6 linked regions of the Oryctolagus cuniculus genome follow. The protein of the gene in region 2 interacts with the protein of the main gene of each other region in a biochemical or structural test. Links are inferred from orthologs where the notes say so. Each region holds a gene or a part of one and is shown on either strand. Other genes may lie near its edges. The genes, in order: SENP1, PML, DAXX, KLHL20, MAPK7 and CHEK2.

Evidence for each region.
Region 1: of the proteins of PML (region 2) and SENP1, one has a biochemical effect on the other in vitro, tested with the Homo sapiens proteins (2 studies listed by BioGRID). The link is inferred for Oryctolagus cuniculus from reciprocal best matches to the Homo sapiens genes PML and SENP1.
Region 3: the proteins of PML (region 2) and DAXX form a complex in vitro, tested with the Homo sapiens proteins (2 studies listed by BioGRID, with this or other methods). The link is inferred for Oryctolagus cuniculus from reciprocal best matches to the Homo sapiens genes PML and DAXX.
Region 4: the proteins of PML (region 2) and KLHL20 form a complex in vitro, tested with the Homo sapiens proteins (3 studies listed by BioGRID and IntAct, with this or other methods). The link is inferred for Oryctolagus cuniculus from reciprocal best matches to the Homo sapiens genes PML and KLHL20.
Region 5: the proteins of PML (region 2) and MAPK7 form a complex in vitro, tested with the Homo sapiens proteins (2 studies listed by BioGRID and IntAct, with this or other methods). The link is inferred for Oryctolagus cuniculus from reciprocal best matches to the Homo sapiens genes PML and MAPK7.
Region 6: the proteins of PML (region 2) and CHEK2 form a complex in vitro, tested with the Homo sapiens proteins (2 studies listed by BioGRID, with this or other methods). The link is inferred for Oryctolagus cuniculus from reciprocal best matches to the Homo sapiens genes PML and CHEK2.

What each region holds. Positions count from the first base shown.
Region 1 is NC_091440.1:137,669,837-137,674,866, reverse strand, and holds the start of SENP1 (sentrin-specific protease 1), read left to right. Parts: upstream 1-1,701; 5' UTR 1,702-2,001; intron 2,002-2,316; exon of another isoform or gene 2,317-2,500; intron 2,501-5,030. Other genes in the region: PFKM (ATP-dependent 6-phosphofructokinase, muscle type), read right to left, coding at 326-448, 995-1,076. UniProt on the Homo sapiens protein: Protease that catalyzes two essential functions in the SUMO pathway.
Region 2 is NC_091443.1:109,449,963-109,453,293, reverse strand, and holds the end of PML (protein PML), read left to right. Parts: intron 1-192; coding exon 193-343; intron 344-786; coding exon of another isoform or gene 787-872; exon of another isoform or gene 873-907; coding exon 908-1,668; 3' UTR 1,669-2,417; downstream 2,418-3,331.
Region 3 is NC_091436.1:135,802,355-135,807,521, forward strand, and holds the start of DAXX (death domain-associated protein 6), read left to right. Parts: upstream 1-2,003; 5' UTR 2,004-2,142; exon of another isoform or gene 2,143-2,260; intron 2,261-2,367; exon of another isoform or gene 2,368-2,501; intron 2,502-2,633; exon of another isoform or gene 2,634-2,770; intron 2,771-3,351; 5' UTR 3,352-3,403; coding exon 3,404-3,610; intron 3,611-3,764; coding exon 3,765-4,596; intron 4,597-4,696; coding exon 4,697-4,911; intron 4,912-5,066; coding exon 5,067-5,167. UniProt on the Homo sapiens protein: Transcription corepressor known to repress transcriptional potential of several sumoylated transcription factors. Down-regulates basal and activated transcription.
Region 4 is NC_091438.1:2,198,522-2,203,004, reverse strand, and holds part of KLHL20 (kelch-like protein 20), read right to left. Parts: intron 3,960-4,483; coding exon 3,776-3,959; intron 1,625-3,775; coding exon 1,481-1,624; intron 1-1,480. UniProt on the Homo sapiens protein: Substrate-specific adapter of a BCR (BTB-CUL3-RBX1) E3 ubiquitin-protein ligase complex involved in interferon response and anterograde Golgi to endosome transport.
Region 5 is NC_091448.1:61,506,094-61,511,278, forward strand, and holds the start of MAPK7 (mitogen-activated protein kinase 7), read left to right. Parts: upstream 1-2,071; 5' UTR 2,072-3,597; coding exon 3,598-3,816; intron 3,817-3,885; exon of another isoform or gene 3,886-4,047; intron 4,048-4,345; coding exon 4,346-4,583; intron 4,584-5,070; coding exon 5,071-5,185. UniProt on the Homo sapiens protein: Plays a role in various cellular processes such as proliferation, differentiation and cell survival. The upstream activator of MAPK7 is the MAPK kinase MAP2K5.
Region 6 is NC_091452.1:22,176,065-22,181,004, reverse strand, and holds the start of CHEK2 (serine/threonine-protein kinase Chk2), read left to right. Parts: upstream 1-1,717; 5' UTR 1,718-1,847; intron 1,848-4,940. Other genes in the region: iron-sulfur cluster co-chaperone protein HscB, read right to left, coding at 1,290-1,525. UniProt on the Homo sapiens protein: Serine/threonine-protein kinase which is required for checkpoint-mediated cell cycle arrest, activation of DNA repair and apoptosis in response to the presence of DNA double-strand breaks.

The sequences.
Region 1 (5,030 bases), on a different chromosome or scaffold from region 2:
CATTAACTAAAAATAATATTTCACATGCTTGTATATCAAACTTGCTGACGGAAGTTCGGGAAGCCAACCAGCAACTCACAGATGAGGGGACAACTGATGCAGTAAAGAGGAAAAAAACCTGTGCTTCCTGAGGTGGGTGTTCCTTTCTCTAGTTTTCCAAACGACCTCTCTCTTCCCCTTTCTCACACACTCACACTTTCTCCCTGTGTCTTAGCTCTTATTTCGAGTTTGGTAGGTCTACCCTGGCTGACCACCCGCGCTTGAGTACCTCACTCTCCAACACTCCTTTGCACATTGCTACCCCTCATTTCCCCGCATGCCTCACCAGTTTGAAGATGAGGTATGCCTTCCTCGGTGCCTGGGTCATCATCAGTGTACAGACTCTGGGAGGCATCTGTCTTGGGTGGTGGCCTTGGTATGAGCCTGTTGGAAGTCGAAGCTTCCGCAGCTGAGAAGCAAAGAGTCCTGGGTTACCCTCGAGGTGAGACTCAGGGAGGAGCACTCCTTCCTCCCGTTCATTTTCTGACTCTCAGCTGTCCATGACACTCTTTCCATAAATCCAGTGAAAAATAAGAGAAGCAGTGACTCTTCTCAACAACCATCTTTCGTCCAAAGCAATCTATCCCTCTGACATAAACGGGAAAAGCAGAACACAGCCAGATACTTGCCGAGGAAGAGGTCATTTTTCCTTGGGGCTTGACTGACTTTACAGGTTTGGGGTGTCAATGACAGTGGGAACTGGGACTCCCAGAGGTGAGCCTAGACTAAGGACCCAGAAGCCAACAGCCAGCTCGTGGGCTCTGCCTCTGGTTCTCTCTCAGCTCCCAAATCCTCCTTACCTGCTTGGGCCTATCCACACACTTATGCAGGTGCTTGTGTTAGGAAAAGGTAAGACAAGGGAACACACCTGGCCACTTGCCCCTGACGCCTGTTCTGAGACTCCCATCCAAGAACCCAGGCAGTGCGCAGGAGCACCGTCAGGAGACTCAGGTACCTGTGCTTTGAGGAGTCCTGACTACCTGGTGAGACCGAATCACACACATGAAAAATTTCAGATGAAATTCCTCTTCACGCATGGCTGTCTCCTAGAGAGACAGAATTAAGTCCAAATGAGCAGATCGCGCCATGATTAGGTGTCCATGACTGGCAGGAGCAGGTATGTCCAACGGTACCGGCACGAGGCCCTAGCGTGGAGCCATCCAGACACTGGCGCGCCAGGTGGCCCTCACCAGCCCGCCTCAGCACCGCGGGACAGGCCTGGTCAGGCAAGGCCCGCCAGTCTGAATGAACCAACAAGCGGACCCCCTCAGCATGGCACGGGCTGCAGGTCAGCCAGTGTGCTCCCGGAGCGAAGGCCCGGGTCCACCCAGGAAAGCAGGCCTGCGTTTCCACACGCCGCCAGGGCCGCCCCCAAAGCGCCCCCCGCGCCCCCGACTTAATCAAGCGCGGTGCGCTGCCAAGTGAGGAACCTGCTAGCCTCAGCCAGCTCTGACTGCCTCTTCTCGAGTGCGCACGCTCTGTAAGCCTCCACGGGACCCGCCACAAACTGAGACCTATCGGGACCCCGGGTCCCCTCCTCTCAGGGCAGCCGCCCGCAAGTTCCCGCAGACCCGGGCCGCCAACGGGCTGCCATGGAAACCGCAGCGCGAGCCGGGACGGCGGGGCGGAACCAGAGAGCGGCGGGTAAGGGGGCCGAGGGACAGAGAAAAGAAAGGACCAAGGGCGCGCCAAGTATTCCGAGCCTGAGGAAGAGAAACAGCACAAGCAGGGGGCAGCAGGGAAGTCGTGACCGCAGCAGTCAACGCTCCCTCGCCTTCCGAGGCCTCGCCGCACCGCGCAGGCGTCCCGCGGGCCCCGAAGCCCGCTGACACCCCCCCCCCCGCCGCTGTCGCCAGCGGGCCTTCCGGCGTTGTGAAAGCGGTTCCGGTTCGCGGAGGTTCCCGGGTTTTGCGTCCCGCGACCGGCCGGAAACCCCCTCGCATAGCAGCCGGTTCCGGTTCGGTGAGTGGCGGCGGGAAGCAGGGGGAGGGGGAGGATGGCGGGAGCTGGGCCGCGAGGCCGAGTCGGGCCGCCTGGCCCCGGCCGGGAGGGGGCGAGGCGGCGTCGGGCCGGCGCGTCCCCCCGGCCCCGCCCCCGGCGCCCCTTCCCCTGGCGCGCCGCGGGCCGGCGGGTGGCGGTTCGCGGGCGCCGCGAGGCCGGGGGTCCGCGCGCCGCGCCGCCGACTGCGGCCCCACTCGGCGCCGCCCCCCGGTGGGGCTTTCCCGCCGGAGCGGGGCTCCTCCCTCGGGGCGCTCCGCGCGGCGCGCCCCCGCTCACCTCTTGCCTGCCTTGACCCAGTGATGGCTCGCGACTGCTCGTGCGTGCCGCGCGCGCCTCTCCCCTGCGCGGTTGCCCGGCGGTCCCTCCCCGAGATGTGCGACCGCTAGTGCCGCCGCCAGACAGAGACGCCGGACGCCCCTGCCCAGGCGGGAGACCCGCTGACCCGGCTCATCGCCGCCCGGTAATTCCTGGGGCGCCGCCTCCCCGGCGACCCCGACGTGAGCCCTCCGGATCCGAGCAGGTCCCGAGCTTGGTGATTTCTGCTTATCAGCGCCTCTGCAGGATTCCCACTATCTGGCCGGCAGTAGCCGGCTCCTTTATCACTTTGGAGTCAGCCTCGTTAGTTGTTGCGGTTCACGTGGAGTTCACGCATTGTGTCCGGGGGCGGTGGTGATTCCTTGAAATCTACCGAAAGCCGCGGGTGGGGGCTCACGACTCTGGCCGGGGTCTTTGTTGGCGTGGGCTCTTCCGGGCGGGGGAGAGCTCCCCATCCCCTCGGTTTTGGCCGCGCCGACTCTGACTCGGGGGTCTCGAGCCTCTGCTGAGATGCGCTCCCTTCACCTTCCCCCGGCCGAGGGACCGACCCCTCCCCCTGCGTCGTGGAAGCTTCATTCCTGCCTGTTCAGTTAATTACCCCACTGGTGTCTGTTCGCTGAGGGGTGAAGTCAGGGGGTGGATGGCACACAAACAGGTTCTGCTGCTTCTGGCTACGGTGATGTAACTCCTGGCTGCGGCCCCGCAAGTCCCCCACCTGCGCACCTAGGAAGGCCCCGCCTCACCGTCCCTGGCTTCTCCCAGGCAGAGACCTGTCCTTGCTCTGTTGGTGTCCCCCGCAACCGCCCGTGCAGCTGGTGCACAGTGTTATGTCCGTGTATGTTAAATAGCCAGTGCTTAGGACCTTCAAGATGCTAGGGGCCAACTGGGAGAGATGACCGAGGTGGGCGGGTGTGGTACAGTGTCATACACACAGTTGCTTCCCAGGGTAGAGTGATACCCTAAATTGTCCCAGCCTCATCTTGGTCCTGGGTAGTGTGGATTTCACGGTGCCTGCCCTAAGTACATGTTTTCGACTGACTTCATTATAGCCTAAACAGTCTCAATTGTAATCCCCTCTTTGTGTGAACTCAGACATGTTTTCCTGTACATTTACATTATGTTACAGTCAGAACTGTATCATTTTTTAGATTTTCAATTAATTATCTTTTTTTTTTTTTTTTGACAGGCAGAGTGGACAGTGAGAGAGAGACAGAGAGAAAGGTCTTCCTTTGCCGTTGGTTCACCCTCCAATGGCCGCCGCGGCCGGCGCACCGCGCTGATCCGATGGCAGGAGCCAGGTGCTTCTCCTGGTCTCCCATGGGGTGCAGGGCCCAAGCACCTGGGCCATCCTCCACTGCACTCCCTGGCCACAGCAGAGAGCTGGCCTGGAAGAGGGGCAACCGGGACAGAATCCGGCGCCCCGACCGGGACTAGAACCCAGTGTGCCGGCGCCGCTAGGCGGAGGATTAGCCTAGTGAGCCGCGGCGCCGGCCCTCAATTAATTATCTTTTGCTCAGTTTCTAATCTGATTCACCTCAAATACTGTAATTGTTTACATCCTTTTTGGTTTTTTGGACAGGCAGAGTTAAAGACAGAGAGAAAGGTTTTCCATTTTCCATTGGTTCACCCCCCAAAATGGCCACCACGGCCGGCGCACTGCACCCATCCAAAGCCAGGAACCAGGTGCTTCCTCCTGGTCTCCCATGCGGGTGCAGGGCCCAAGCCCTTGGGCCATCGTCCACTGCCCTCCTGGGCCACAGCAGAGAGCTGGACTGGAAGAGGAGCAACTGGGATTAGAACCTGGGATGCCGGCGCCGGCCGCTTACATCCTTTCAGTAAATTAAATGATCAGTATGTACAAGGAAATTACTAAAATTGTTTTTAAGAGAAAAAATTTTTTATTTAAAAACTTACGTATTTATTTGAAATGGAGAGTTACACAGAAAAAGATTTTTCCATCTGCTAGTTTACTCCCCAATGGCTGCATTAACTAGGGCTGGGCCAGGACAAAATCAGGAGCCAGAAGCTCCTACCAAGACACCTATGTGGGTGGGAGGGGCCCAAGCACTTGGGCCATCTTCCATTGCTTTCCACAGCACATTAACAGGGAGCTGGATTGGAGGTGGAGTAGCTGGGACTCAAACTGGAGCTCACATGGGATGCCAGCTCTGCAAGTGGTGGCTTAACCTGCTATACCAAAGTGCTGGTCCCGAGGGAAAAAAAATTTAATTCGAAAGCCAGAGAGACAAAGATAAAGAATCTTCCATCTGCTGGTTCACTCCCCAAATGGCCACAACAGCCAGAGCTGGGCTGATCCAAAGCCAGGAGCTTCTTCCTAGTCTCCCACATGGGTACAGGAGTCCAAGGACTTGGACCATCCTCCACTGCTTTCCCTGGTGCATTAGCAGGGAGCTGGATAGGAAGTGGAGCAGCGGGAACTCAAACCAGCATCCCTATGGGGTGCTGGCACTGCAGGTGGCAGCTTTACCTGCTATGCCATAGCACCGGCCCCTGGGGAAAATTCTTATACTTGAAAGCATTTGGTGGTCTGAAAGGTGCCAGATCCAGCATTGCATGGAAATTCTTGGGGTGAATACTCCCTCTCCCAATTTAAGTGTAAACTGGCAAAAATGAACCACTGATGGCACACTAGAGAAGCCAGATAGGTTTGTATG
Region 2 (3,331 bases):
AGGCGTGCGTGCCTGGCTTACACGCGAGTCCTCACACGCAACACACCGGCTCATGCACCCAGGGACGTGCCCTCTTTCCCATGCACACAGAGGCCCCTGCTGTGCCAGCCGGCTCCTGACGCCCCACACGCACATGCGTGCGCTGTGTGCGCTAGGCACGCCCCCTGACCCGTTGGTTGTTCTGTGTTGCAGCCCCGCCAAGAGCTGGACACCAGCAGCAGCGAGTCCAGTGACCTCCAGCTGGAGGGCCTCAGCTCCCCGCGGGCCCCGGACGTGAACCTCGCTGATCCCCACGCAGAAGACAGGCCCCTGGTCTTCTTTGACCTCAAGATCGACAGTGAAAGTGCGTTCTCTGGGGACTGCCCCCTCCTAGCTTAGCCTCTGAGCCACGTGCCACGGTCAGGATGGCCGGGAGCTCTGGCTGAGGGGGCGGGACACCCCCTCGCCTGGGGTCCCCTCTGTGACCTGCACCTGGGTGTGGGAGGACCCCACGACACCCCTCCCCGGGCTTGCTCTGGCCTCACCGCGCCCCTCCCTGAGCCGCAAGCCCTGCAGGTCCAACATGTCGCTGGACTGACAGAAGGGGCAGGCGCTTCCGCGGACCTCAGCGCTGGCTCTGTGGGTGGCGCGGTCAGGGCAGGTCTGGCATTCCCGTTCCCGGCAGGGTTGGCGGCCTGAGCTTAGTGACTCTGGGACCGGAGGCCAGGGTGCAGAGGGCCATGCAGAAGCAGTCTGGGGTCTCCCGCATGGCTGGGTGGCAGCTGACGGGTCTGCTGGGTTGGGCAGCCTGCCCCTGCCCTCTTCCTACCCCAGGGCCGTCAGAGCCGGCGTCCAGGCCGCATTTGGTCCCTCCCAGCAGGCGCCGCCCCTGAGCTGGGGCCTCACCCTGCCCTTCTCTCCTGCCCAGCCCAGAAGATTAGCCAGCTGGCGGCCGTGAACCGCGAGACCAAGTTCCGGGTGCTCATCCAGCCTGGAGCCTTCAGCGTCTGCTCCAAGGCGGTGTCCCTGGAGACGGGGCTGCAGCACTTCCTTGGCTTCCTGGGCGCCATGCGCCGCCCCGTCCTGGCCTGCTACTCGCTGTGGGGCCCCAGCCTCTCCGTCTTCCTCCGGGCCCTGGAAGACATGAACAAGCTGGGGGCCTTCCAGGAGGCCGTGTCGGGCTTCCTGGCCCTCCTGCCCCTCGTGCGCGAACTCGTGCCCGGAGCCAGCAGCTTCAAGCTCAAGAGCCTGGCCGAGACCTACCTGGCGAGAAGCATGAGCGAGGGCAGCGCCCTGGCAGCCGTGCTGGCCATGCGTGACCTGTGCCTCCTGCTGGAGGTCTCTCCCGGCCGGCAGCTGGCCCGGCACGTGCACTCCTTCCACAGCATGCAGTGCTTTTCCTCCCTGCAGCCGCTGGTGCAGGCGGCCATCCTGTCCCGGGCCGAGGCCCGCCTGCTGGCCCTGCACAAGGCCAGCTTCCAGGAGCTTCTGAGTGCGCACCGCGGCGACCCGCAGCAGGGCTTGGAGAAGTACTGCCGCTCCCTGGGTCTGCGAGCCACGGCGCCGGCCCCGGCCCTGCCCACTCCCAGGCTGCAGGCTCTGAGCGCCTACTTCCAGCGCCTGTCCGAGGGCACATCTGCCTCTGTCGATGGCCACAGCCTGGAACAAGGCGCCGCCCAGCAGAGCTGAGAGGAGGCGGTGGGCGATGGGGACAGAGGTGGCCAGAGAAGGGGAGACTCCCTTGGCCAGGCCCCACCCATCTCACATTCCCAGCGCCCTGCTCCCAGGGCTCAGGTGTCGTTAGGTCCAAAAATTGGGACCTGACAATGCAGGGTCCAAGGCCACCCCCACCCCCCCCAGGGGGGCTCTGAGTGGCCCCAGCTGCCCCACCTGCCACCCCCACAGGCGTCCTTGCACTCCTCTCCCATCCCCACGCCATCGCCCCAGGGGACTGCTCGCTGCTCCCACGGGCACCACCTGCAGTCCCACGCGTACCCAAAGTGCCTTTCACAGCCATCTGCCCCCGGAGCCTGGGTTCCCCCAGCCTTGGCTGGGCTGCGGCCACATCTCCTGGCCCCCCGAGCATCCATCCAGCAGACAGGAGCCGCTGCCCCCACCACCACCACTGTGAGCCCCTGGGAGAAGCTTGCTCACCTTGTCCCAGCCACACAAATGCCTCCCCACCCCACACACACCCAGGCTTCGTCCTCGGTCTTGGGCCCCCAGAGCCTTCCACTCTCTTTCCCAGCCCGGGAACGTCCCCCACTGCCCACACTGCCCAGTGCCGCAGGCCCGTGACCTCTGCTCCCACCGCAGGTGCCCTGGGGACCCTCTGGGGGCTCCTAAGGAATTGTTCCCATGCCGGCTGTCCCCAGGCAAGGCTGGTGATGGGTTTTATGCTGAACCCGGCGTTAATAAAGCTGTGGGTTTTAGCCGAATTTCTGAGGCTCCAATCATAGACTCTGCTCGGGCCACCTCACAGGAGCCAACGAGAGGCCTCTTGCCTGGTGAGGGGAGGGGGCTCTCCTCTTCTGCATCCCACGTTCGGCAGACAGGGAGGCCAGGGACGCTGGTGATGGGGCGTGATGCGCGTGTGGGACGTCACAGAGGCAGCCTCCCAGGTAGGTACCTGCAGGCACTCCTGTGGCACCAGTGCGGGGGACTGCGCGCCCCGGCCTGTGTGGGCAGCCAGCTAATGCAACTGCCCGGCGCCACCACCCTTAACCCCGCTGGCCTGCCCAGGGCACCTGCACGTCTCAGCTCGACCCTTTGACCAAAGGCTCAAAGTCCTCCTGTGCCACCTGTGCCTCGTCTCCAGGAGTTTTTGTTTGTTTTAAAGATTTGCTTGCATAGTTGGAAGGTCAGAGTTACAGAGAGAGAGAGAGAGAGAGAGAGAGAGAGAGAGAGAAAGCTCCTCCATCCACTGATTCACTCCCCAGATGGCCACAATGGCCAGTGTGGAGCCAGGCTGAAGCCAGGAGCCCAGAGCTTCATCCGGGTGTCCCATGTGGGTGCAGGGGCCCGGGCACTTGGGCCATCTGCTGCTGCTTTCCCAGGCCCTGAGCAGGGAGTAGGATTGGAAGTGGAGCAGCTGGGACGCGAACTGGTGCCCATATGGGATCCTGGCATCACAGGTGGTGGCTTTACCCGCTGCGCCACAGCGTGGGCCCCTCATCTGCAGGTTCCACTCTCCCTAACCAGGAGGTCTCAGGGCTGGGCTGGAAGCCAGGGGCCTGCGGTTCAGCCCCCACTCAGCAGCCTGTGGTCCTGATCTGGCACATTGGGCTCTGTGAAACGGGCTCATACGGGTCACAAGTACCGCACAGGACCCCTGCAAACCAGGGAGACAACG
Region 3 (5,167 bases), on a different chromosome or scaffold from region 2:
CTCCCCAAATGGCCAGTGCTGGGCCAGGCTGAAGCTTGGAACCAGGAGCTTCTTCCAGGTCCCCCAGGACCATTAGCAGGGAGCTGGATTGGAAGAGGAGCAGCCAGGACCTGAAATAGCACCCATATGGGATGCCAGTGCTACAGGCGGCGGCTTTGCCTGTTACTCCACAGCACTGACAGCAACTATATGCTCTTTTTATCTTTTTAAACATCTACTTGAAAGGCAGAACTACAGAGGCAGAGGCAGAGAGAGAGAGGTCTTCCATCCACTGGTTCACTCCCCAAATGGCTGCAACGACCAGAGCCAGGCCGATTCAAAGCCAGGAGCCAGGAGCTTCTTCCAGGTTTCCCATGCGAGTACAGGTGCTTAAAGAATTGAGCCATTTTCTACTGCTTTCCCAGGCCATAGCTGAGAGCTTGATTGAAAGTGGAGCAGCTGGGACTCGAACCATCACCCATACATGGGATGCCAGTGCCAGAGGCAGAGTCTTAATCCACAGCACCAACACCAACTATATGCTCTTATATTTGAAAATCTTTTATTGACCAACCTCTTACGTTTTCCTGAAGGTACATATATACTAATTGAGATGAAAAATGTCTTTCTTGGGGCCGGCGCCGTGGCTCACTTGGTTAATCCTCCACCTGCGGCGCCGGCATCCCATATGGGCGCCGGGTTCTAGTCCCGGTTGCTCCTCTTCCAGTACAGCTCTCTGCTGTGGCCCGGGAAGGCAGTGGAGGATGGCCCAAGTGCCTGGGCCCTGCACCCGCATGGGAGACCAGGAGGAAGCACCTGGCTCCTGGCTTCGGATCGGCACAGCGCCAGCCGTAGTGGCCATTTGGGGGGTGAACCAACGTAAGGAAGACCTTTCTCTCTGTCTCTAACTCTACCTGTCAAATAAAAAACATTTTTTTAAATAAAAAAGTCTTTCTTGCGATTTTGACTCTTTGTTAAAAATATTTATCGTTACAATTATGAAAAACGAATTTATCAAGCAGCACAAAGATTGTGCAAATTTTTGCATTACGAATTTTTAATAAGCTAGAAGATTGTGTTCATGGTGCATCGCTGAAATAGACCACGTGTCTTTTGACTTCAGCCAGGTAAGAGACCCAGGCAACTTCACGGCTGTGAATTATTATAAGATGGAGAAAGTCCATTGTGAAGGGGAAGGAAGAGGGAGAACCTCTACCGCAGGCGCTCGCTCTGGGAGCCCAATTTTGGGAAAGCTGAGGATCTGAAACTTAAATCCTCTTTGTCAAGACCCAGTGGTCTTGGCGAGTTTTGTTGCTCAATTTGAAGGCTGTAGGCCTGGACGACTGGCGAGAAGTGACAGGGATTCTCAAAGGAAGCGTCAGGGATGCAAGGCCGCGGGCCTGAGGCAGGAGGCCACCACCCGCGCGTGGGCTTCGCGCTGTCCCCGCAAGCGCGCCTCGGGACGCGGCCCGGCCTCCCCCACGCGAGGCGTCTCCTCCGGCTCCTTCCTCACTCTGTCCTCGGCTCTCCCTGAGGAGCAGGAGACCACCGCGTCTCCCCGCACGCGCGGGGGCCATCGCCCAGCTGCTCCCCCCAGCCCCCGGACCCCACGACAGAGCCTCGAGGGGCCGATGCCGCCGCAGCGTCCAGGCCCCACTCGGAGAACAGCGCAGCGCCGCTCGGGTCCCGCCGGCTTGGACGCTGATTAGTTCTGAGGCGGAGCTCGGAAAGCCAGTCAACAACAACGTAGCGATAGTAATACCACCACCACCACCTTCAGGGAGCGCGGTGCTCGTTTGTACGCATGCGTCGACATTTCCCGGCCGGGGACGTAGCACCTGGAAGTGGAAGCGGCGGCCGGGCAGCGGCGAGGGGCGCAAAGCCCATTAAGCGGTGGAAACCGGTACCTGGGAGATAGGAAAGCAGGACCGGAAGCCTCACTAATTGCCCAGCGGAAGGAAAAGGTTTTATTTCCCCGTTTAGACACGCCTGCCCTTTCCTGAAGCCATGCACAGCCTTGGCGACCCCAGTTCTTCAGCCAGCCTATTCCACTGCCCCCCTCCCACCCCTGGGAAAGGTGGCTCAGTGGTCTCGGCACGCGACTAGCTGGCGGTTGGGCTCGAGGCAGGAAGTTTCTGATTGGCGGAGTCCCAGAAGCACCAGGTGAAAATAGCTCCGCCGGCTGAGGGCCCAAGTCACTGCAGAGCTGGGGCCGTACAACAAAATGGCGGCCCCCAGCAACTTCGGGACGCCCTGAAGGGGCAGGCCCCGCCCCCTACAGGTCAGGGGGAAGGGAGTCGCGGGCTAGGTGGGCGGTACTAGGCACGCTCGGTGGGGCCTTCCGGAAGCAGGAAGGCTGGGCTCCGTACGACAATATGGCCGCGCTTATACGCGTGTAGGCGGAAACTCCGCGGCTTCCGGTCTGTAGTGGGGCCTGCGGTGGGAGGGGGAAGGAAGGCGGAGGGAACCATGCGAGGTTCTGAGATCAGCGGCGAGGGTCGTCTCGTGAGACCGTTTCTGAGGTGCGGGCCGGACTGTGTGGGGAGCGAAAACGGGGGAGGGGATATCGAGGAGGCGGTACTGGGGAGACGCGGGCTCTGAGTCTGAGAGGCATGCTCTGGTACCTTATTCCTGAAGGGAAGTGGGGCGGCTAGGGGTCTGACCTGGGGGAGGGGGACTTGGCGGGAAGCTCATCTACCCTGCCGGCGCGACTCAAGGGTGGGATCCGAGAAGAATCGGGAGAGCCCACTGTAGGTCTCACGATCGGTTACAAGTCACAGAGAGCGACCAGGTAAAATCAGGGTGGGGTGAGAGGGAGGGCTCTTGAGGTGTCATACTCCAACCCAGTGCCCTGGTTTGAAGAAGCCCATCAGAGGGTGAAATACGGAGTTAATAGCAGGAGGGGAAAGGAGAATGGATCGTTGAGAGGACTGTTGGATTGTCTAGGAGTTGGGGTGATCATTAAGGGTGGGGTATGGGTTTGACATGTTTCGGGGTGAAAGGGGCCAGACGTGAGGCAGCCAGAGCGAGTGTGTTTTCCGTGTGTGAGGGTGTCATGGGAATCTGGGAAGCGGGACTGGGGTTGGAAGAACCAACTTGACAACTATGAGAAATAGTGGGGAGATGGAACAGAAAGACCGGAAGCCAATGTGAGAGGTAGAGCTGGGTGTGGCGATTGAATGTTTGCGGTTCCCTGTCCTGGGCCACTTGAAGGGCCCGGGAAGGCATCCAGAGCTAATGGTTGCAGAAGACAGGCAGTGAGGACACTGTTGGGCAGGGCTGGGTGTTGCTGAAACCCACGGAGATTGGAAACTGAGCTGAAGGGAGGGGCTATGCTGGAGGGGCTCTTTCTGAGGCCCCATCCCCTTCCAGCAGGAATTCTGAAACCCCCAACACTTCCTCCCTCCGGGGGATTTGATCCCTCATGGCCACCGCTAACAGCATCATTGTGCTGGATGATGATGACGAAGATGAAGCAGTCGCTCAGCCAGGGCCCTCCCACCCACCCCCCACTCCGGCCTCACCCCAGGCAGAAGCCCCTGGCTCCTCTGAGCCCCATGGGGCCGGAGGAAGCAGTAGTTCTGGCGGCAAGAAATGCTACAAGTTGGAGAATGAGAAGCTGTTTGAAGAGGTGAGCTTTAGGGGAGAAGATTCTTATACCCCAGGGAGGGGGATGGCGCACTGGCTCTCTGGTCCTCTCTCCCCCACTAACTGCACCCCCCCTTCTCTCTCTCAACCCCCTCCCTTGTCTCTTGTCCGCTCTCTTCTTCCCCCGAACCCTCCAGTTCCTTGAACTGTGTAAGACGCAGACAGCGGACCACCCTGAGGTGGTCCCGTTCCTCTCCAGTCGGCAGCAGCGTGCCCACTCTGTGTTTTTGGCCTCAGCCGAGTTCTGCAACATCCTCTCTCGGGTCCTGTCCCGGGCCCGGAGCCGGCCCGCCAAGCTCTACGTCTACATCAACGAGCTCTGCACCGTTCTCAAGGCCCACTCAGCCAAGAAGAAGCTGAACTTCGCTCCTGCTGCCACCGCCTCCAGTGAGCCCTCTGGGAGTAATACTTCTGCAGACCCGGCCTCGGAGCCCGGCAATGCTGAGGCCGCTGTCTCCGAGGCCCCAAGGACCCGTGGCTCCCGCCGGCAGATCCAGCGCCTAGAGCAGCTGCTGGCACTGTACGTGGCGGAGATCCGGAGGCTGCAGGAGAAGGAGCTGGATCTGTCAGAACTGGATGACCCAGACTCCACGTACCTGCAGGAGTCGCGCTTGAAGCGGAAGCTGATCCGCCTCTTTGGGCGACTGTGCGAGCTGAAAGACTGCTCTTCGCTGACCGGCCGGGTCATAGAGCAGCGCATCCCCTACCGCGGCACCCGCTACCCAGAGGTCAACAGGCGCATCGAGCGGCTCATCAACAAGCCAGGCCCCGACACCTTCCCCGACTACGGTGATGTGCTGCGGGCCGTAGAGAAGGCAGCTGTCCGGCACAGCCTCGGCCTCCCGCGCCAGCAGCTCCAGCTCATGGCCCAGGACGCCTTCCGAGATGTGGGCGTCAGGCTACAGGAGCGACGCCATCTCGACCTCATCTACAACTTCGGCTGCCACCTCACGGATGACTACAGGCCAGGTAGCGGGTTAGCGGGGTGCCCGTCGGAGGCAGAGGGGACCGCTCGCCCTCTCTGCCAGGGTGTGGGCTGAGTGCTCTGCTGTCATATCTTCCCATGTAGGCATTGACCCTGCACTGTCAGATCCTGCCTTGGCCCGGCGCCTTCGGGAAAACCGGACCTTGGCCTTGAGCCGCCTAGACGAGGTCATCTCCAAATACGCAATGATGCAAGACAGAAGTGAGGAAGGCGAGAGACAGAAGAGAAGAGCCCGCCTCCCCCAAGGCACCTCTTCCCAGCCTGCAGATTCCCCCACAGCCTCCTTGGATTCTGGTGAGGTGTGGAAGGGACAGCAGCCTTCAGAGAGACCTTGTCCTCCCCCTGCGCTGGCCGCTAGGGGTTCCAGGGTGATGGATGGGGGGGTACAGAGGGAATGCAAGAACCAAACCCCCTGAGGCCAGGGATTCCTTAGAGAAACTCCTTTGTCCTCCAGGGTCCCAGTGGAATGGCTTCCCAGGAGTGCCCTACTACCTCCAAAGCTGAGACAGATGATGAAGAAGATGAGGAAAGTGAGGAGGAGGAGGAAGAGGAGGA
Region 4 (4,483 bases), on a different chromosome or scaffold from region 2:
CACAAGAGCTAAGAAATGGAAACAACCTAAATGTTTAATATCAACTAATAAATGAAGAAAGTGTGGTACAGGTACACAAAGGAATACTGCTTAGCCATAAAAGGATGAATGGTTGTCATTTGCAACAACATAGATGGAACTAGAAGTCATTACATTAAACAAAATAAGCTAAGCACAGAAAGCCAAGGACTGCCTGATAACAAGCACACATAAAGTCTTAAAAAGATGATGAGAGGGACCGGCGCTGCGGTGTAGTGGGCAAAGCTGCTGCCCGCAGTGGCGCATCCCATATGGGTGCCAGTTCTAGTCCCAGCTGCTCTTCTTCTGATCCAGCTCTCTGCTATGGCCAGGGAAAGCAGCAGAAGATGGACCAAGTCCTTGGGCCCCTGCACCCACATGGGAGACCCGGATAAGGCTCCTGGCTCCTGGCTTCGGATCAGTGCAGCTCTGGCCGTTGCAGCCATTTGGGGAGTGAACCAACAGAAGGAAGACCTTTTTCTCTGTCTCTCCCTCTCACTGTCTGTAACTCTACCTCTCAAATAAATAAAAAAAAAATTCTTTAAAAAAAATAAAAGGCCTAAATCTTTGGGCCTCTCCACCTGCATTGGAGACCCGGAAGAAGCTCCTGGCTCCTGGCTTCAGTTCGGCACAGCTCTGGATCGGCGCAGCTCCAGTCCAGCTGTTGTGGGCAACTAGGGAGTGAAACAGTGGATGGAAGACCTCTCTCTCTCTCTGAGTAACTCTGACTTTAGACAGGAGGAATAAGTTCAAAGATATAATGTACAACACCATGACTGTAAGTGTATTGTATACTTGAAAAGTGTCGGAGTAGATTTTTGGTGTCCTCATCACAAAAAAATGAAAAGCCTTTTAGTTGGCTTGATCCAGTCATCCTACGATGTGTGTCTATTGCAAAATATGCTGGTCACCATCAATAAGTATTTGCATGTCGATTAAAAATCAATTTAAAAATGCTTAAAATATTTTTTTATTTTTTGACAGGCAGAATGGACAGTGAGAGAGACAGAGAGAAAGGTCTTCCTTTGCCGTTGGTTCACCCTCCAATGGCCGCCGCAGCCGGTGCACGGCGCTGATCCGATGGCAGGAGCCAGGTACTTATCCTGGTCTCCCATGGGGTGCAGGGCCCAAGCACTTGGGCCATCCTCCACTGCACTCCCTGGCCACAGCAGAGTGCTGGCCTGGAAGAGGGGCAACCGGGACAGAATCCGGCGCCCCGACCGGGACTAGAACCCAGTGTGCCGGCGCCGCAAGGCGGAGGATTAGCCTAGTGAGCTGCAGCGCCGGCAAAATATTTTTAATCTTTCTAGCCTTTATGATCAACTGAAAACTTTTTCTGGAAAGCCTATGGTAAATTCACTGAATTGTGAATCCTCTAATGCTCTAAGTTGGCTGTAACTGTTTCCTTAAAACTGTCCTAGGTGTCCTTAAAAAAATTGAAAAGTATTTAAAAAAAAATCACCTCTCAACAATGTTGAGGCAAGACACACCATCCTGGCCACCCACGGCATACAGAAAGCCTCCAAGTACTGCCACACCAACACTCGTCCTGCAGGTGCTTGTAGGGGCCACATCACTGCTCCACTGGTTTGTTTTGGGGTCATACCTGTAAAGAACACATCAAGAGCAGAGTTCTTATTCCACAAAGGAAGTCTGGCTATGTTACATATTTCAAATCAAAGGATTGATATATGTTATCTCCCTTAAATAAGGGCAGATTAATAACTAAAATACATGGAAACCTATTTTGATCTTTGAAATTCATTTGTATATAATAAGCTGTATATGAATATATATTTTAAAAAATCAAAACAGTATCAACAAAACTAATTTTCCCTTTGAGTTCCACTTGAACTCTGGTCTCTTCCCATTATGATTGGCATATACTCTTTAATACTTTTCAGTAAAATGTTTTCAAATAAGTATACATGTACCCATATGCACATGCATCTGTGAGCTTGTTTTATTTACATAAATATATGTCCACAGTAGGCACTGTTTCTGTTCAAGATATTTGAGATCTATTTATAGAAGTATAGCACAAGAGATTCCTTTTGAACTATTTTATAACACTGTATATGCCACGTCACTTAATCATATTCCTATCCATATATCCTTTGACTATTTCCAATATGTTGCTATTAAAAACAGTGATTATTCTTGTATCTTTCTCCCTGTGCAAATGGATAAAGACTAGAAAATGGATAAAGACTAGAATCGTTGGGGCAAAGAATATATTCATTTTTACTTTTATTTTTTAAGATTTAATTTATTTATTTGAGAAGATGAGTTACAGGGAGAGGGAGAGACACAGATAAAGGGCTGCCATCCATTGGTTCACTCCCAAAATGGCCACAACAGTGGGATGGCTGGAGCCAGCAGCTTCTTCTAGGCCTCGGATGTATGTGCAGGGGCCCAAGGGCTTTCTCAGGCCACAGCAGAGAGCTGGATTGCAAGTGAAGCAGCTGGGACTCGAACTGGCGCCCATGTGGGATGCTGGCACTGTAGGTGGCGGCTTTACCCACTATGCCACAGTGCTGGCTCCCAAAATCTTTATTTTGATATCTACAGGCTTCAATGTAACTGAGATATAAATATTTAATTATTTTGCTTATATTTGTTTAACTGGTTTACTTATTTATTTTAAAAATATCTTAGTTTTATTTCATGATTCTAGAATTGACGACACTTTATTTCATAAAATACAGTTAGCATTCCCTTGGTATATTTAAGTGCACTCCCCTAGCCACTCCACTTTTATGGAACTGATTCCTCGGTGTTTTTCCAGCCACAATGGGAACTGAGTTGCTGCATGGTTTCAGAGGTGTGTTGTGGAAATACCAAGGATCACCTTAAATCAACATCATGGAAAGGAAAAGGGTGCATGAGAGCAAGAAGCTTTTAAAACATCAGTTACTGTAAGGTTTCCATTGTGCCCTGTGTGATAGATATTATGGATAAAGGCAGCTCAACAATTATAGCACAATGGATTAGGAACAAGCTTGTTAAAGATACATAAAGAATAAAGGCGTGAGAAACTAATTTATTTGCATGACCATCAGAGAATTTTATGTAATGATTAACATTTGATTCTTGAAGGATAAGTAAGTCTTAAAAGGGCAAATATTCCAGGGAAGAAAGCAAGCATACACATAGGGAAACAGACATGAAAGACGATGGTGTGCTGGGGCTGGCGCTGTGGCGCAGCAGGTAAAGCCGCCGCCTGCAGTGCTGGCTTCCCATTTGAGCACTGGTTCAAGTCCCAGCTGCTCTGCTTCTGATCCACCTCTCTGCTATGGCCTGGGAAAGCAGTGGAGGATGGCCCAAGTCCTTGGGCCCCTGCACCCCCATGGGAGACCAGGAAGAAGCACCTGGCTCCTGGCTTCAGATCAGCGCAGCTCCAGCCGTTGCAGCCGTCTGGGGAGTGAACTGGCGGCATCCTCTCTGCCTCTCCTCTTTCTACATAATTCTCACTTTCAAATAAATAAATCAAATCTTTAAAAAAAAAAAAAAGACAGTTGTGCCAGGAACTGTGAGCAATTTGTTGGGTCCGTAGTTGCATGTTTAGGGAATGGTGCAATCCAATGCAAAGTGGAAAAACAGGTGGAGAACAGATCATAGAGGACTTGTACGTCATGCTACAAGGATTAGGGTGCCAACCAGTGCCACAGACTCAAGTCACATCTGTTTCCTAATTAGTATCTCAAATGACACTGCACGTACAATAGAGAAAACATTTCAAGCCCTCTTTACTCACCTTTCAACACTATTGAGATAAGAGGATCCATCATGGCCTCCCACTGCATATAACAGGTCATCAAGGACACTGACCCCAACTCCACATCGCCTTTTGCTCATTGAAGCTACCATGCGCCATTCATTTGTCTGTGGATCGTATCTTTCAACACTGGAAATGGCATCTCCACTGCACCAACCACCGACTAAGGAAGAAACAGAAATGATCAAGAGGATGTGCCCTAAGGCAAACTGTATCAGTCCCTGCTAACCTCACTGTGGATTAATGTGTGACTAAGCAAATGTCTCTAGAAGTAGGTCCAAATACAGTCATAACTTTCATTTATTCCACTGGGATTGCTATAACCTTAATTAATTTTCTAAATACATTAGTATCATGTCCACTTGACAAAGAAGGACAATGACACCTATTCAAATAGAATTGTAAGGTAATATCCTATATAATGGATAAAACACTGAATTTAGTTAGAAAATTAAGGTTTGATTGTTGCTTCTACCAGTTCTGCAATGTTGGGGAAATCCTGAGCCACTGTTTCCTCATTTGTAAAATAAGGAATCAAAATTAAAAAGTGGAAAAATACTAACAATGTATAAAAAGGATGATACAACATGACCAAGTAGGTTTTATCTGAGTAGACAAGAAGGTTCAAATTTTAAAAATCATATCACCAGGCTAAAAAAGAAAACTCAGAATTTTTTTTTTTTTTTT
Region 5 (5,185 bases), on a different chromosome or scaffold from region 2:
GAAACCGCCCACGACCTCCATCCTAGGGTCTCGCATGGTCGGTCCCCACCTGCCTCTGGCCCCGTGTCTCTGTGACCCCTCTCCCGCTGTCAGCCTGTTGACCCTGGCCGTGCCGCTCCTCTGCTCGGAGCCTCCCCTGCCTGCCTGGCTGGCTCACACCTGTCCCTGATGTCCTCTTCCCACGTCACTTCCGGAAGCCCTTCCTGACTTCTGAGTGCCCAGCGCAGGCCTCCCGCATCAGGTGGGCTGGGACTGCCCAGTTAGGAGCCCAGCCACAGCAGTCAGCCGAGGACACTGTGGGCTTGCCGGGGCGCAGCAGGAGTCAAACCACACTGTTTCCGAGGCAGCGATGTCAGGAGCGTGGCGTCCCCTGTGTAGCCCCCTCTGCTCCTCTGACTACCCCCACCCCACCCCACCGGCACAGGAGCATGACTGTGCAGGACACTGCTGTTCTTCTCATCGGCCCCTCGGCCGCCCACTGTCCCTACCTCCCAGGCTTCCTTGGGAAAATGGGCCCCATCCACACATGGCCAGAGCAGAGCACAGGTGACTGGGGTTTGGCCAATCAGCACACTCTTCCCCTAGGCTGGGCCTGTCCAATGGGACATGACCTGGAAACGAGGCTAGATGCCCCACGGGCCGGCATGGAGTTCTGCGACACCAACACCCCATATTGGAGACTGGAGCACTGGCTAGAGCCCCGGCTGCTCCAGTTCTGATGCAGCTCCTGGCTAACACACCGGGAGGCAGCAGATGGCCCAGATACCTGGGCCCCTGCCATCCGCGTTGAGACCTGGATGGAGTACCTGGCTCCTGGCTTCAGCCTGGCCCAGCCCTGGCTGTTGTGGCCATTTGGGGATGAGCCAGCAGATGGAAGAGCTCTCTCTCTCTTTCTCCCTCCCTCCCTGCCTGTAACTCTACCTCTCAAATAAATAAATAACATCTTTAAAAAATAAAATGTCCTCTCTTTAGGCTGACACTGGGGCACAGTGGGTAAAGTAGGAACCAACCAGTGGATGGAAGACCTTTCTCTCCATCTCTCTGTAACTCTACCTCTCAGATCCTTAAAAAATTAAAAAGGGAAAAACTTTTTAAAAATAAATCCCATGTGGCCTTGGTATAGATGAAACCTACCTGGGGTGCAGTCATGTCTTGGGCCTGCAGTCACCCTGCACTGACCCCGACTCACCCAGAACAACTTCCGGTCCCGCAAGCCCCATTCGTGGTGAGTGCCCTCCACAGAAGCACTATTTATTCTCGTCTATATTTCACGGTGCTTCCCCACGCTTAGATAGGTTGTGCTACGCAAACACCACCGTTACAAATGCCCACAGGTGTGTGCAGGGCGCAGCAGGTAAGTTCTCACAATGCCAACACCGCCTCCCAGTGTGATTCGCAGAACGCAGCCCTGTCCTGATGGGACCTGGGACTGTCTGAGTCACTTTCCTCTAGTGGCCACCAGGAGGCGGGACCAAGATTTTTCACTTAAACGTTTCTTTACCAAAGTCTCGAACCACAAGAAAATGTGATTCCACCCTTTCCGTTTTTAAACAAGTGGTCAGTTGTGTCAGATGCAACAGAGAGTTCGAGAGGGCAAGGGTCAAAAGGCTGGATTTGACCAGAAAGGGATAACTGATGACTTCTCCAAGACAGAGCCGCTGCTGTGGGAGCAGCAGCACAGTAATTCAGACAAAAAGTAAGAGAATCAGTCTTTTTAACCAGGGGATAGTGAATTGTCTGCAGCGAATAACCTGACTGGATGGAATATTTTTGAAGTATTTAAAGGATACACAGTGCATTAGTCTCTTCTGATATTTTATTCCTGATTCAAATAGGACCACCAGACAGAGTACAGTGGGTCCCTAGAAAATCATGTGTTTCATGTTCCGGCCTCTGTGTGACCTCTGCTTACACTGAGAGCTGACACAGGGCCTCACGCTGCATGGATTTCATCTCTAGAAAGGCCCCTGGGGCCGGCGCTGTGGTTAAGCCGTGGCCTGCAGTGCTGGCATCCCGTATGGACACTGGTTCAAGTCCCAGCTGCTCCACTTCCGATCCAGCTCCCTGCTGAAGCGTCTGGAAAGCAGAAGATGGCACAAGTGCTTGAGCCCCTGCACCTGCGTGCGAGACCTGGAAGAAGCTCCTGGCTCGGCCTGGTCCAGCTCCGGCCATTGCGGCCACAGGGGGAGTGAGCCAGCAGACAGATCTGTCTCTCCCTCTTTCTCTGGTTCTGCCTTTCGAATAAAACAAATAAATCTGTGTAAAAAAAAAAAAATTCCCCTCAAACACTTCCATATCTCAGTAACAGGAAACCCCGTTTCTCAAGAGTACGGTTGGTTGCCTTATTAATGCTCAGTGCAAATCACGTGAGATAATTTGGCTTTGTTATGCTGCCAGGGAAACCAAACAAATTTAGACTTCAACCCCAACTCAGTTGGTTCATACGATCGCTACCTATCTAACTACTAGATATACATATAAAGGTACCGCACGCACTGTGGAAAGCAGAATCAAAAACTTTTTTTAAAAAGAGATTTACTTAGGTGCCTGAAAGGCGTAACTAGAGAGCGGCGAACCGGAGAGAGATCTCACACGTAACGGCTCCCTTCCCAATGGTGGCCACAGCCAGGGCTGTGCCAGGCCGAGCCGGGAACCGGCAACTCCACCCCCGTGTCCGCCGCGGAGGGCAGGGGCCACCTCCCAGGGACCACGCAGCACGGGGGCAGGAAGCCGGATCGGAAGTGGGGCGGCTCGAGCAGGCGCCCCAGCGCGGGCTGCCGGCCGAGGCTGCATTCGTTAAGCCACAACGCTGGCCCTCCCCCCTCAAAAAAGTGTGAAATCCATGCAAAATAAACGACCTTTGAACTCTGCCGAAACGGTCAACCTGGCACTCCGGGACTCCTGACGACCGGGTTCCCTCCCGCTCTCCCCGTCTTCCCATCCGCCGGGCCTGGTGCAGGGCAAACTCGCCCGAATGTCCCAGCTCCACACCGTGGCTCCGCCTGCAGGGCCTTCATTCCTCCACGGAAACAGTCACCGCCGGAGTCTCCACCACAAAGCCGCTTCTTCCTCGCCGCTCTTACCTCCAGCCCTCGCCGCCCTGGCGTCGCAGGGCGGGGCTCGACACTCGACTACGCGAGGAATGGCGTTCCAGTCAGAGTGCTGCCGACTCGCGGACTCCACAGAAGGGCCCGCTGCCTCCTTCCACTCTGTCGCAGCCCGAAACGCCGGAGCCGCGGGACAGAGCCACTGCGGAGGGCAGACGCCGGACCAGCAAACTACCAGCGAGCGCCGGAAGTGTGCGAGAAGACCGGCCGCCGGAAGTCAGCGGCAGCTCCGAGGCCGGACGCTCTAGAATCCCGGAGGACCCAGGTCTCTATGGTTGGACGTGCCTGCTCGCCCTTTCCCGCGAACGATGCTTTCCCAGAGCTCCCAGAACCGAGAAAATGGGGACCCGTTAAGGAAGAGGGGCCCAAGGAGGGGTATTGCGGGAGCCAGTCTCCAAGGTAACAACCCCAGGCCTCTCAGCTCGCCCCGAGTGCCCGGCTGTTCCCCACAATCGCGGGACGAGCCGTGATTGACCGCAGGAGCCGATGGATGGGGACGCGCGCGGGCCGACGTGCAGGGGCGTTGCCTCCTATTCTCGCGGCGCCCGGGGCTGCCGGTGCGCATGCGTGCAGGGGACTGCGCCCGGCGGCCGGCGCACCCCTCCGGAGCGCCGAGCGCCCTCAGGGCGGCGGCTCCCGCCGGCGAGCCGGACCCCGGCGGGCGGAGGTACGGTTTCCTAGGCCGATGCGCCCTGATTGGGCTCAGCAGGTAAAAGGGGTGGGAACCTCCGCAGGGGCCGCTCGCCGATTGGCCGGCGGCGGGAGGGAGCGTGGTCTCGGGAGGCGGGGCGGTGGGGTCCGGGCTGGGCAGCGCGCGGCGCTGAGGAGGTGGCCGCGGGCCTCGGACGGGCGGGAGTGCGGTTCCCGGAGCCCCCTCCTCTAGCCGGGGCCGAGGACGCCGGCGAGCGCTGGGACTTCCAGGATCCCTGAGGAGGCGCCGGTCAGTGAGTGTGGCCCCGAGGAACCCGAGGGCCCCGCCCGCCCTTTCTTCCTGGACTGCGCCGCGCCGCTCCCTCCCCCACCCGCGACCCCGACCCCCACCCGGACCCAGGCCCGGGGCGGCGGCTCCCAGCGTCGGGTGTCTCCAGCGGGCCAGCCGCTCCCATTCGCCAAGTGGCTGGTTTTGGAAACTTGGAAATTTCCCTGGTGCCCCCTCCCCAACCCACAGAAGGGGAAACTGAGACCCCCGGGATGGGGGCTGGGGGTGGGCCCTCTTCATCACCGGCGTCTCCACACAGAGGACCATGGCCGAGCCCCTTAAAGAGGAAGATGGCGAGGATGGCTCTGGGGAGCCCCCCGGGTCGGTGAAGGCTGAACCCGTCCACACCGCCGCCTCGGTCGCCGCCAAGAACCTGGCCCTGCTCAAGGCCCGTTCCTTCGACGTGACCTTCGACGTGGGCGACGAGTACGAGATCATCGAGACGATCGGCAACGGGGCCTACGGGGTGGTGTCATCCGCCCGCCGCCGCCTCACCGGTGCGTCTCCTGGGTCACTGTCCTTGTCAGATTCGGAGTGAGAAACCCTGCCTTAGCCAGCCGGGCTGTGAGGTGTGGTTCCGATCCAGAGATCTCTAGGTGCCCAGGCTCCCAGTGAGGCAGGACTCCTTGCAACTCTGGCCTAGCCGTTTTTTGTTTGGTTTTGTTTTGCCATCCCACCAGGCTGCTGGGCTCTGGGGCCAGAGCCTGGCACCAGGGAGTGGTGGCGGGATGGGCTAGGTCTGGGAGGCTCTCTTGCTAACTGGCTGTGCAGCTTCTCACAGATGACCGCGCCGGGTTCCCTCGTCTGTAACGTTGAGCCGGTAGTACCTACCTCATAGGGTAGCAGCAGTGTGGTTGAAGTGCTTAGTTAGCACCAGGCTCGGTAGCCTGTAGGTGCCCAGTGTGTGGGAGCTGTAGTTGTTTGCATCCTGGAAGTGGCTGCTCTAAGAGACCCTGTGGTGACAGCCTTTGCCCTGCCCCCCAGGCCAGCAGGTAGCCATCAAGAAGATCCCTAATGCTTTCGACGTGGTGACCAATGCCAAACGGACCCTCAGGGAGCTGAAGATCCTCAAACACTTCAAACACGACAACATCATTGC
Region 6 (4,940 bases), on a different chromosome or scaffold from region 2:
GAAATTGGAGATGAAATCCACACAACACAAAATGATAGATTTCTCTCCTGTTGGCCTGGTTCCTGCTCTTGGGGGAAAATGCAAGAAGCGCAGAGATGGAGATCACTTTAAAAATAGCTAAGTGCTCAGCCGGCGCCGAGGCTCACTAGGCTAATCCTCCACCTTGCGGCGCCGGCACACCGGGTTCTAGTCCCGGTTGGGGCGCCGGATTCTGTCCGGGTTGCCCCTCTTCCAGGCCAGCTCTCTGCTGTGGCCCGGGAGTGCAGTGGAGGATGGCCCAAGTGCTTGGGCCCTGCACCCCATAGGAGACCAGGAGAAGCACCTGGCTCCCGGCTTTGGATCAGTGCGCTGCGCCGGCCGTGGCGGCCATTGGAGGGTGAACCAACGGCAAAGGAAGACCTTTCTCTCTGTCTCTCTCTCTCACTGTCCACTCTGCCTGTCAAAAAAAAAAAAAAAAAAAAAAAAAAAGCTAAGTGCTAAAAGGGAAAAGAACAGGGGGTCAGCAAGGGTGGTAGACGCCAGGGCCCTCTGAGCTGAGCCTCAACCTGAACACGATGATGATGATGAGGATGATGATGAGTAATCCGAGATCAGGGGAGCGACACCCAAGCGCAAAGACCCGGGCGGGCAAGTATAGTCGCAGGCCGAGGAACTTCGAGGGCAGTGCTGCTACGGCCCATCCTAAGCACTCAGTGACCGGTGGCGGTAGATCCCAGAGGAGGGTGACCAGGCATCCCCAAACCCCACCCTGTTCTTCTAAAGCCCGGGGACCTTCGTCCCTGGCTCCTTTTTAATCCAAATCCCTTCGGCTTTCTACTCCCAGAGCCGGCCCTATTTCCTCACCAGCTCAGCTGTGCCCACATCTCCCCACCCCCAGGGCGGAAAACCCTCTTCTTCCAAGATCCACGTTCCCCCTAGGCCTTGCCCACGATGTGAAGTTCTCCGCCCACTCCTCACCTACACGTCCCACCCCAGCTTCCCCTCAGGTCTCCCCGCCCCCAAGATCCGCCCCTCGCCCGCTTCCCTCTCCCGCAGGGGCCGCCCCAGGGTCTCCCCCCACCCCGTCGCCTCCCCGTCCCCGCCCATCCAGCCCCCTGCCCACTCCGGCTCCACCCCTCAACGCCCCTTCCTCTCTCTCAGGACACCCCACAAACCCCACTTTCCGGGCTCCGCCCACCGGTCTTCCCGGTCCCGTCCTGTCCTTCCCACGCCTGGCCCGCCCTCCACGCTCGCAGGCCAGCCCCTGGCGCCTCTCTCCGCCATGCATTTCCCAAAACCGCCTCCCGTACCAATCCATGAGGCTGAAGTAGTCTCGAGCTCGGTCAGGTGGCTGCAGCGCGCGGCACTGCGGGCAGAAGAACCCGTCCCCCAGCCCAGGGGCCCCCGGTACACCGCAGTTCCAACATCCGGGCGAATTACTTCTCGCCTGCGACGCAGCATTGCAGCTTAACAGTCTCCTTCCGGGAACCCCTGCCGGCCACAACTCCCACACCCGGAGCAAGGCCCGGGACCTCCCGCTCCACATCTGGCCCGCGGCCGGTCTCCCCACCGGTGGGGAATAAGCGGAGAACACTGTCGACGAGCCTGAAGCTGCCGATTGGCTGAGGAGCTGCGGGGGCGGGATCACTGCAGTGAGCCCCAGAGACTGTGTTCCGCTCTGCCTCTTAAACTACAACTCCCGGCAAGCATTGAGCCTACGCGTGGCGGTCACATCCGCCGCTCCTCATTGGTCTGGCGGCGGCGGAGAGCGTTTTGATTGGCTGAGGGCGGAGTTTGTATCTTCAGGTTTAGCGCCACTCTGCTGGCTGCGCCTGTGGAGAGTGTGCGGCTGCAAGTGGGCTCACGCGGTGAGTCATAGTGGGGGAGCTCTTCTTGGGTGTTTGGGGGATCGAATCTCGTTCTCCAGGGTCTTTGGCGAGCAGAGTCTCTCAAGCTTCCGCTTCGTCTGGACTTCTGAGCCGGCGGCGGACTGCGTGGGCGGCTTTCTTCCTTAGATAATGTTTAACTTCACTTCCCTCCTCGTTATTTATACATTTAAATAGGCCAGGACCGCAGGGAACAGAGTTGTGCTCGTCACTGTCACAGCAGCGCTGCTTTGTAAAGAGGTCCGTGACCGATAGCAATTATGAACAGTTCTTTAGAGGCGATCTCTAAGCTATTGATGGCGAACCCAGGCTTGGCTGCTGGGCACCGCAGGACCTGGACACACACTGACCGGGCTGGAGCAAGTCCCTGCGAATGGCCACACGGACATACTGGGGTGCCGTGACCACGCGTTTGTGTGGCCCTTGTAAGCCTCTCAGATTGTCTGGGACTGGACTTCTGCTCACAGCCCTGGAGCTTTCCTGCTGCCACTTTGTCCCCTCACTCACTCCTCTGCTCCCAGTTAGCAACCATTACCCTAGGAGGAGCATTACACGCACTGGCGCGTTGAGAGCTCTGGTCTGGGTGCTTTTTTTCCAGATGAGGAAGTGGGTCCAGAGAGGCCGAGGCATAAGATCGTGCAGAAGTTCGACTCCAGTGCCTGAGCTCAGGCCTGCTGGCCTCTAGCCTCTTAAAGCTACCTCTTGGCACACTCTCCCCGCTCGTTGGGGTGGGGGAGTCGGGGACCCAGCCTGGCTGACCGTTTTAGATCAGCAGGTCAGGTGTGTTTTAAGGATCACACAATAGGACTTTGGTAATTTTTTTTTTTTTTTAATTTGACAGAGTTAGTGAGAGAGACAGAGAGAAAGGTCTTCCTTCCGTTGGTTCACCCCCTAAATGGTGCCTATGGCCAGAGCTATGCTGATCCAAAGCCAGGAGCCAGGTGCTTCCTCCTGGTCTCCCATGCGGGTGCAGGGCCCAAGCACTTGGGCCATCCTCCACTGCCCTCCCGGGCCACAGCAGAGAGCTAGACTGGAAGAGGAGCAACTAGGACTAGAACCCGACGCCCATATGGGATGCTGGTGCCGCAGGCAGAGGATTTACCAAGTGAGCCACGGCGCCAGCCCCTGGACTTTGGTAATCTTGAAAGCTGTGCAAATACAGTCAGTGAGAGTGATGTTGTTTGCTAACCTGTAGTAAGTAGTGGGCCTCATGCTTGGGAAAGAGACTGTGCCTTAAAATCTACTTAGGTCAGCGTTGAAAGTAACTGACTAACTGCCCCTCAAGTTAATTCTAAGGCAAGGGCGGGAGCCTTTTAAGTGGAAGGCTCTTTAGGATGCTGTAAGTTACTTAGCATCACAAAGGGCTACGCTGAGTTGTCTGGCCTCCTTAAGCAGCCTGGCATTTAGATAGCTCTCAGGGACGTGGATCCCTGCCCTCCAGGAGCAAGCCTGGGGGAGAAAGGTTTTGGTGAAAGGGCCCCTTCCAAGTGGTGAAGTTTGTTTTGCCTGTCTTTTATCCCAAGCCACCTGACCATGCCTCATCTTTCCCTTTCAAAAATGTATGTGAGGGGCCAGTGTTATGGTGTGGTGGGATAAGTTGCTGCCTGTGACACTGGCATCTCAGAGAGAAACACAGGTTCAAGTCCTGGCTGCACTGTTTCTCATCCAGCTCCCCGCTAATGTGCCTGGGATGGCTCAACTAAGTTGAGCCTCTGCCACTCTTTTGGATAATCGGGATGAAGTTCCAGGTTCCTGGCTTTGGCCTGGCCCAATCCCTTGAAAGTTAGGAATGAAACTTAAAACGGACTAATACAATCAATATAATTAAATTTCACATGCATGTTTTTTTAAAAAACGTTTATTTGAAAGGCAGAGTGACCAAGGGGGGAAGAAAGGAGAGACAGATAGAGAGATCTTCCACCCCTAGTTCACTCCTCAAAAGCCCTCAACAGCCAGAGCTGGGCCAGTGTGAAGCCAGGAGCCTGGAGCTCCACCTGAGGCTCTTCTTGGGATGCAATGGCCCAAGCACTTGAGCCATCTTCACTGGCTTCCCAGGCTCTTCAGCAAGAAGCTGGATTAGGAGCGGAACAGCTGGGACTTCAGCTGGCACTGAACAGGAGATGCTAGTGTTGTAAACTGTGGCATAGCCCACTGAGCCACAACACCAGCCCCCGCATTTCCAATTTTTAGAAACTGGATGCCTAAAAGCCTCTGAGTGCCCCCTCCAGCTCAGTGTCCTTGCGTTTACACTTGTTGCCTTCAAGTAACTTTATTTTTTCTTCTCTGTGTCTTATGACAGTCAAAAAAGTGACCTGGGGAAAAATGGTAGCATAGAAGCACAGGTCTAGACTGGTAGGATTTTAATTTTGGTAGAGTGTTTTGGCCCTGGATTTTTTTTTTTTTCGTTCGTTCTTTTTTTTGCCTTTGTGTGTGTGTGTGTGTGTGTGTGTGTGTGTGTGTGTGTGTGTTTGACAGGCAGAGTGGATAGTGAGAGAGAGAGACAGAGAGAAAGGTCTTCCTTTTGCCGTTGGTTCACCCTCCAATGGCCGCCACGGCTGGCGCGCTGCGGCCGGTGCACCACGCTGATCCGAAGGCAGGAGCCAGGTGCTTCTCCTGGTCTCCCATGGGGTGCAGGGCCCAAGCACTTGGGCCATCCTCCACTGCACTCCATGGCCATAGCAGAGAGCTGGCCTGGAAGAGGGGCAACCAGGACAGAATCCGGCGCCCCGACCGGGACTAGAACCCTGTGTGCCGGCGCCACAAGGCGGAGGATTAGCCTAGTGAGCTGCGGCGCCGGCCGTTTTTTTTGCCTTTGTAATATGCTCATACTTCATTCTTGAATTTTGTCTCTTTTTTTAAAGAACACTTTTTAAAAGTTTATATATTTGTTTGAAAGGCAGAGCGAGAGAGCAAGCATGAAAGAGAGCGAGAGAGAATATCAATCTTCTGGCCTCAGGTTTACTCCCCAAATGCCCACAACAGCCAGGGCTGGGCCACACCAGGAGGCAGGACTCCATCCAGGTCTCTGTGTATCTGGCAGAGACCCAAGCTGACCCATCATCTGCTGCCTTCCAG